Canis lupus familiaris: one gene and its partner. The protein of the gene in region 1 interacts with the protein of each later gene in a pairwise test. Links are inferred from orthologs where the notes say so. Each region holds a gene or a part of one and is shown on either strand. Other genes may lie near its edges. The genes, in order: RABL6 and SPINK7.

Region 1 (3,815 bases):
AGAAAGATCCCAGTGTTCTGAAAACAGAAGTCTGTATGTGGAACACCCGGAGGAAAACCTGGCTGGCTCCCACCAAACGACACCCGTGCCAGCTTCTGATGGCAGGATCAATTTTGCTACGGTGAATGTGGACTACATATGCAATAATAAAAAAAACCCTTTAAAAACAGACTGAAAATGGGAAAATGGAGTAGAGGCCCACAGGCCATTTCTAAATCAGGCTTCTGTCAGTTCCTCCTTCAGCATCTTTGAAGACATTCATTTCTGGCAGCAGGCCTGAGGCCGTGGTTCCTGGAAAGGCCTGCGGGGGAGGCTGGTCCCCACTGGTATAGGGCCTCCACTCCTGGTGGTCTCAGCCAGCAGCTACCTGGCCAGAGCAACACCCCTACACCTGCATACTGTGCTTCTGCTTGGGCGGGGGGGGCGGGGGAACACTGGCGCCAGGCAGGCCTGGGGAATCAAGTGTGTCCCATCTCTTCCCTGGCAGACCCCACTTGACACATGTCATGTTGCCCACGTGACTCCATGAGGAGGGGCCCCTTGGGAGCTGGCACCTGGCCACCCCCATATTCACACCCCTGCGCCTTGACGTAGTCTTTCCCTGGGATCTTAGCTGAGTCCCCTTAGTCAAAGAACGTCAGAAGTGTCTTGGGGAGCCCCAAACAAGTGGCCGCTTGGTTCTGCATGGTACTTTCAGGAAGGGCCACAGGGCTGTGGAAGGTGTGCCCCCCGCTGCAGTGCTGTACCACCTCAGCCCGCCCTCCACACGTTCCCCGTCTGTGCTCATGGACCTCCCCAGAGATGGCCGAGCCTTGGCCTCCATGTGGCTGAACTGCTGGTGTGCACGATGCCCAAGAACAGCCTCTAATTGTGTGGCACCAGCAGTGACCAGCAGGCGTCACCACGACCTGACAGACCACTGGGGTGGCCATCCAAGTGGTGGAGTACTAGGAGCCTCGATGGGCATTTCCAGCCAGCGCCCCCTTACCACTGCTTGGTGATGTCGAACATCATGACCACCCCATTACAGTTCTTGTATACATCCAGGAACTCGGCATCCAGGGCCATCTCGGACTCCACCTGGGGACAGGACACAACTGGCATGAGAGACTGCTCTGGCCAGGCTCCCACAGCTGTGAGCCCTGTCTCCTGGGGAAGGCTGAAAAGGACTTGCACAACCCGAAAGATAACAGCCATTTTCATGTTGGAAAAAAACACGTGAATGAGACGATCTAGAGCTCAGGTCAGAAAACTTTGCCTAAAAGGGTCTAGCAGTAAACCATTCAGGTTCCAGGACCACATCAACTCTGCCCCTGATTCAGGGCCTTCTCCACTCACCAACCACATCCTACTTGTGAGCCTCACAAACTTCCCATCACTCAGAGGGCCAAGAGTGTACATTCCAGACCTGAGGAAAGCACTTGCAGAGAACCTTCTAGAGCACAGAGACAGGTGACTGCAGTGCTGGGGGCAGTAGCAAAGGGTCACACAGAGGGCCAGACAGACCTGGACCACGTAGGAGGGGCCTGGCAGGTGTCACCACCAGCAGCTCAGGCAAGCCCAGCCATCCCAAAATATACCAGTAGGCAACACAGGGTCCCATAAGGAGTGGGGCCAGCTGGTACCACTGAAATACCAGGGAGGGTCCCAACCCCCAACCTGGAGTGGTGGGCCCCATGGTGGCGGGGGGTGGGGGCAGCTTACCCACCTCCTGGGGATCATTCTCCACCTTCAAGCCATCACCTCGTCGTCTGCACTTCCCTTGTTAGGATGACAGACAAGGGTTACAGGGGGAATCATGGCCCCGGGGGTGGGGACACTTCTTCCCCCCGTCCTACCCACCAGCCCCCACCTCTGGTAGGTGCCACGTCCCCACAGCTGGCACTCAAGCAACCCCACTGGTGGCAGGAAGCGACCACAACCTCACTGAGACCTTGACAGCTGGAGCCGCTCTGTCCTAGCCAGGAAAGAGACCCTGATGGGTTGCTACAGTTTGGCCTAAACTGGAAGGTGCCGGCAGGTACAGTAGGGCTGCTCAGCAAGATGGCCCTAATGTCCCCCCCATTTCCTTCCCCGACTGATGGAGCGCCCAGCCCAGCCTCTCAGGTGCTGCCCTTGAGGCCAGGGATGCTCCCAGGCCTCCCAGGCTGGGCCCAGGCCCTGAGCACACCAGCAGCTGGCACAGCTCTAGGGGCTCCTGAGCCGTAAAGAGCTCCAGACCATCCTTGTCACCTCCCCTCTATCTCTGAGATACTTCTAAGGGAGAAGGAAGGGCTGTGTGTCACCCTGGGAATTCTAGGTCCCTCCATCTTAGGAATAGCCTGGGCTAAACTAAGAAAGCCCTTCCCTCCCCACACACTGGGTTTGTTTATTTAAAAACCTGCTACTGCTGGTCTCCACAGCTTCTTTCTGACCCTCTGGCCACCTTCAGAGCCCTGTGAGCACAGCGGGCATCCCGGGTCAGCAGGGGCTGGCCATGCGCACCCTCCTGGGTGCTGCTCTGGGGCCACAGGACAGTACCTCCAGCACCACCACGGGATCCCTGCTGTAGCCATCCTTGCGTGTGGTGGGTGGGCTTTGTGCCTCCCACAGGCAGAAGCAGGACATGTCAATGATCCCCAGGGTGGAAATGTGTCTCTGCTGCACCACAGGGCATTCCCACCACAGGGCATTCCCACCTCAGTGACAACATAACACGCTCACGGGAAGGGGCCCCGTCCCCCCAAGGGCTGGTGGCTTCGGAAGCCAGCAAGTTGGTTCTTGGCTCAGGGCCCGGGGACACTGCGCAGACAGTGCTGCAGGAAAGGCTCCTGGGACAGGCCCCACAGGCCCCTGGGTTTGGAACCCTCCTCCTCTGCCAGCCCCTGTGAGTCCCCCACTGCCAGGCGCTGTCTCAGTGGGTCAAACACGCATTTAAACAGCAAAGGCCATGGTCCTGACTGGTCACTGCTGTGCATCCGCCTCCTCTGCCCCAGATGCAGGAGGGAGTTGATCTAAGACCCAGAAACTAAAAGGAACAGCACAGACCCAGGCCTCTAACAGCCTCTGTGAGCGGCCCTTCTGTCGAGAGACCCAAGACACAACACGGAAGGAAGCGTCGGGAAAAAGTATTCATGATAAAAAGATACGACTCACCTTTGTCAACTACATCCCAGACTTCTACCTTGACGATGTCATCAGTGGCTAAAATGGGGGAAGACATGAAGATTAGGGTCCACCACCACCTTTGACCTTCTGGTCACACTCAGGCTCTTAGGGGCTGTCCAGGAGTTGCTGCGTACCACTCTTCCCCAGGTGGGTGAGGCTCCCCACCAGCACCGTCTCCAAGGACGCCTCACACCCACCCACGGCCTCTACACAAATGGCAGCCTCTCCCTCTCCCCGCCCCCGGAGGACAGCAAGGTGCATCACTGTTTTAGGCTTATGCTCAGGCTGCAGTGAATGGCCCTGGCCCATCCTCAGCTGACCTACCCTCCATTTCCTGCAGGTGTCCTTGGGACAGGCGGGTCCCCGGCCGGGTCTACACAGCCAGGGTACCCTGTGTAGGTGCACCCAGGGAGCAGGCTCTGGCCTGACTCTCATCAGTGACCAGCCTCGACTGTGTTCCAGTCTTTCTCAGAACTGCTTGTCTTTCTGTGCTTTTTCTTTACAGAAAGGAGACCCTTAGCCCTTCTTCAGTGATTCTCACCAGGGATGGACATCAGGACCCAGGGCCTGCGCTATGTCTCCTCGTGGTGGGTCTGAGTGCTAGGCTCATCCCTCCATCCTCAGGATTCTGAAGGTACAGGTGGGGAACTGCCATGCTCCTGTCCCTA
Region 2 (4,411 bases), on another chromosome or scaffold:
TAACAAGATACTGTTCCACTACCTAAAATAGCCAAAAGCTGAAGGGGGTTGGAGATCACCCTCAAATGATCTCCTTCACCCCTTTGGTGACTCCTGACCTGCCTCTCTTGAACTTCTGGGCTCCTGGTCTTACTGAATTCCCTCAATTGAGATAGAAATTGGCAGTTGGGTGATGGATGGAACTAGTTAAAGCTGGTAGAGCAGGAAAACCTAGCCTGACTGTGAGACAGTTTTCTCTCTCTACCAGCTGCTTCTGGGTGGGAATAAGCACAGCTCATGGAAAGTGAAATGGGCTCATAGAAAGAAGAGAGTTTTGCAGTGGAGGACACTGGCCGCAACTTATTTATTTTCTATGAGGTACTCACAAGTTCTCAATGCACAGGTGACATTCATTCCCATAGGTAATGTAGTCAGAACCACAAACAGGCAGGTATGTGATGGGGCAGGGGATGGCCACCACTGGGTACTTCTTGTAAATACTGCAGTCCACCTGCAACAGGCACAAGAGAATGTCCTAGGGTCTCCTGGCCCCCAAGATAGGCTACACTGGTCTCTGTTGGGCAGGAAGCAAAATACCATCCTAGGAGTCCCAGATCAGATATTCTGAGGCTGCTGTGCCTATTTCTACTACTACTAATATTATTGCCATGCTAAATACTAGTACTGCTGTCCACACTTCTGTTACTACTAGCACATTCTATTAATTCCTGAGCGTTTCCATGCTAGGCATTAAGCTTAAATTATATGTGAATTTTCTTTGTTTAACCTTCATAACAATGGAATAGGATAGGTCCTACTATTACGCCTACTTATAGATGGTGGGAATTAAGGCTTTAAAACAGAGAACATGCATAATGTAAAAGCTAGTCAGTGATGGGTCTGGGATTGGAATCTAGAGCCTGTGCAATTAACCAAGGTAACTCTGTTCTGCCTCTCATGTTGTCCTTTCCATGAAGACTTTGCCAACCTCTCAGCTGGAAGTCATCTCTCTCTCCTTTAACTTGGGATTTTTTTTTTTAACTCTATGATTACTTATATGTATGTCATGTTTCTTCAGCTGCCTTCTGGAAAGCAGAGGAGAATTTTTAATCTGTGTCTGTCTCCCTCTTAACCCCCTCCCCAAACACACTGAATTAATTCTGCATGTAAATTTCAAAAGCATTTGTTGACTAAATGCCAGTCAATAGGAATTGAAATTAAAATGTAATTCAATATACTCACTGTGGTTAAAGGCAGACTAGCAGCTTCTGAAAGAGAGTTATGGATAGAAATATTAAAAATAAAGCAAGGTCTCAAAGTCTCATTGGTTAAATAAATTTGGGCCTATAGATTAAGACTCTGTATTTGCTCTGGTGATGAATCTTAGCACACACTCTGTTCTTATATAAAACTCTGTTTGATGAAGAAGCCAAATGGCCAGTAATGTAAGCCTTTTATTTAGGCAGGAGAATTAACTACAGTTTCCTCCCTTTATTGACTATGGGACATTTTCTGGAGCTTGTGTCTTTGATAATGATTCAGAGTCAGATAGCAATAAAAAGTATTGCAGTCACCCCTCCTAAGAGCCTGAAGTGCCGCCATCTTTGATATTTCCCCCTCTGAATTGATGTAAAAAATGTAACGCAATGTTAAGGTGTTACAATATTAATTTATTGAAACCATTTTCACCATATAAAGACTTATAAAAGTCTAATTGTTGACTCCTGGGCTTTGGAGATTTGTGTTTCATTTTGATTCTCCTGAATTGATTTGGAGAGACATCCACGGTTTTCTGTGTCATTGCACTGAGGGATAGTATCTAATAACACCAGCTGCTTCCAGTGTCCTTATGAAATGGTAGACTTATGAAGACATCAGTTCTTTTATTTTCCTATGGCTCCATGGATGAAAATAAAAATCCTTGAAAGGGAAGACACTGGATCCAAACTCCCAAACACCTGTTGGCACATAAGAATCTCCCTTCCCTTTCAGAAAAAAAAAAAAAAAAAAAAAAAGAATTTCCCATCCCAGGCCAGGACTGTTTGTATTATAAGCCAGTACACTTTAAATCCACATGATCAGACATTTCCCTCCAATGCTTAGAAAGGGTTATTTGGGAAGACAAGTTCAATGGCCACACAGGGCACTCTCTGCCTTTAACTCACCTGAGCTGCTGAAGAAATGAGTTGCTGCACAGAGCAGAAGAAGCCCCCCAGTGACCTTCATGGTGGAGATGGCTATGATACAGAGGCTCTCAGGGCTGTCACACCAGCTTTGTGAACCATATCCTAGGAAAGGGGTCATGTTTATATGCCACTGCTTGGTTTCTCCACCTTTCCTGTGAGGTCACCCAGAGTCAGTGTTGGCTCTGAAAAGCTCTCAAAACACAATGTCACACCCTGGGTGGTGTTGAGGTTCTTGTCACTTAATTGCTACTTATTATCTGAACGACAAATTGATTATTTGAGGTGAGAAGTATTTTTCTGCCTGCACCAGAGGGGGGGACTGTTATTTAGAATTCTCAACTTCATATAGTGAAAGAAATTAAGTATAGGCTGCTTGGTCTAGTTATGAAATAAGTAAAAACATCAAACATTTTTCACCAAATAAAGAATATTAGACTCAGATTAGACAGATCACACTTAGGTTTATATTCTGCCTCCAGGGGAAATACTGTTTATTTTTGAAGCAATGAACTATGAAGCAAGCTGAGACCTGGTGGGAGGAACAGTGACCTCAGCGCTGATGAGGCTTAGAGGAGGACATTGACATTTTGTGGCCGTGTGACCTTGGGTAAGTCAACTATGTGCCATGAGCCTGTATCAGTCAGAAAGACCTGATTATTCTCTGCTAACATACAACCTCAGAATTTCTGTATCTTAATATATGTTTACCTTGTACTCAAGCTATCCACAGACAGTTGTCAGCAGATGGTGTCATATTGCCTTCAATGGATCCCAAGTGAGTCGAGTAGTTTTGTATGTCATTCATTGTCAAGGTGAAGTGAAGATGTGTTCTTGAGGATTTCCATTTTCAGCAATTATTTATTCCCCTCAGAAGTGACACTACAGGGGCACCTGGGTAGCTCAGTGGTTGAGCATCTGCCTTTGGCTCAGGTCGTGATCCCAGGGTCCTGGGATCGAGTCCTGCATCAGGCTTCTCACGGGGAGCCTGCTTCTCCCTCTGCCTATGTCTCTGCTTCTCTCTGTGTATCTCTCATGAATACATAAATAAAATCTTTAGAAAAAAAAAGAAGTGACACTGCTGTCACTTTCCCTCACCAGCAAGTGACCTGGCTCAATCATCGAGGTTACAGTGTGATCTTATTTTATCCCTTGAAGATGAGAAGGGAGAGAACTGGAAAACAGTTGGCAAACAATACAAAGACCACCCTAGAGCCTTGGTTTCATGCCCTATCAAGTGAGGCCTGCTGATAACCCCAATAGAATTTACTGAACTGGAGTCATGTACATGAAAATCTGTTCTAAAAAATGCGGTGCATGTAATTGTTATTATAATTATTATTAATGATCAGTCATAGGTCTCTGCTATGGGTTGCTGACATGAGATTGTAAATTGGATTGTCCAAATACAATTGTCTAAATAGCTGTGTTTTCCCTGTTGGGCTTGAGAGCATATGTATAAAAACCTGTAGGAGGGTGGTAGACTCTGTTCGACCAGTCTTTTGCTTGATGGGTTTATTTCAGTGCATTCTGAAACACAGCATCTGCAAAGATAATAAGCTAGTAATAAATGACATTGCATGGCTCCCTAAAATTTTGACTTTTACATCTGTTTGGAAAGGAATATAATGTAGTAGTTAATATGGGTAATTAGTCCAGAAGGTCTTTTTAGGAGTCTTGCTTTTACTAATTGTTAACTGTGAGACTTTAAATATACAGATTAAGCTCTGGATGTTTTAATTTCCTCATCTGTAAAATAGAAATAATATTCACCTCCCAGAATGACTTTGAGTATTGAATGAGGTTATATATATTTTTTCTTGTGTGTGTATGTGTGTGTGTATCAGAGTGCCAAGATCATAATTAGAGTTTCATGTATGGTAGCTAGAATATGGAATGTGATCTTCAGGACAACTCATTGAGGAAGGAATTTTATTACCCTAATTTTACCAGTGAGTAAGTTGAGACTCAGAGGATTTAAGTAATCTTCACAAGATCATGATACTAATTAATAGGGGAGACTATGTGGAGTTTGGTTGTGGAAAAGAAGAGAAGTGAATGCCATAATAAAGACACTTCATTATAAGTTTTATTGTTTGCTATGATAGTTTGAAGACAATTAATTCTGAGAAAAAGCCATTATGTTTCAAGAAGAGGTGTCTTTGTTGCAGTTAGAAAATGTATTTAGCAAAGAGGAATGGGAATGGGTTCAAAGGGAGATTAGGATGAGGTAGAGAATAGCATTATAA

Evidence for each region.
Region 2: the proteins of RABL6 (region 1) and SPINK7 interact in binary tests that used the Homo sapiens proteins (3 or more experiments, as listed by UniProt). The link is inferred for Canis lupus familiaris from reciprocal best matches to the Homo sapiens genes RABL6 and SPINK7.

The regions. Positions count from the first base shown.
Region 1 is NC_049230.1:48,754,059-48,757,873, forward strand, and holds part of RABL6 (rab-like protein 6), read right to left. Parts: intron 3,184-3,815; coding exon 3,136-3,183; intron 1,762-3,135; coding exon 1,709-1,761; intron 1,081-1,708; coding exon 989-1,080; intron 1-988. UniProt on the Homo sapiens protein: May enhance cellular proliferation. May reduce growth inhibitory activity of CDKN2A.
Region 2 is NC_049225.1:61,384,275-61,388,685, forward strand, and holds the start of SPINK7 (serine protease inhibitor Kazal-type 7), read right to left. Parts: upstream 3,080-4,411; 5' UTR 2,284-3,079; coding exon 2,145-2,283; intron 1,248-2,144; coding exon 1,222-1,247; intron 491-1,221; coding exon 366-490; intron 1-365. UniProt on the Homo sapiens protein: Probable serine protease inhibitor.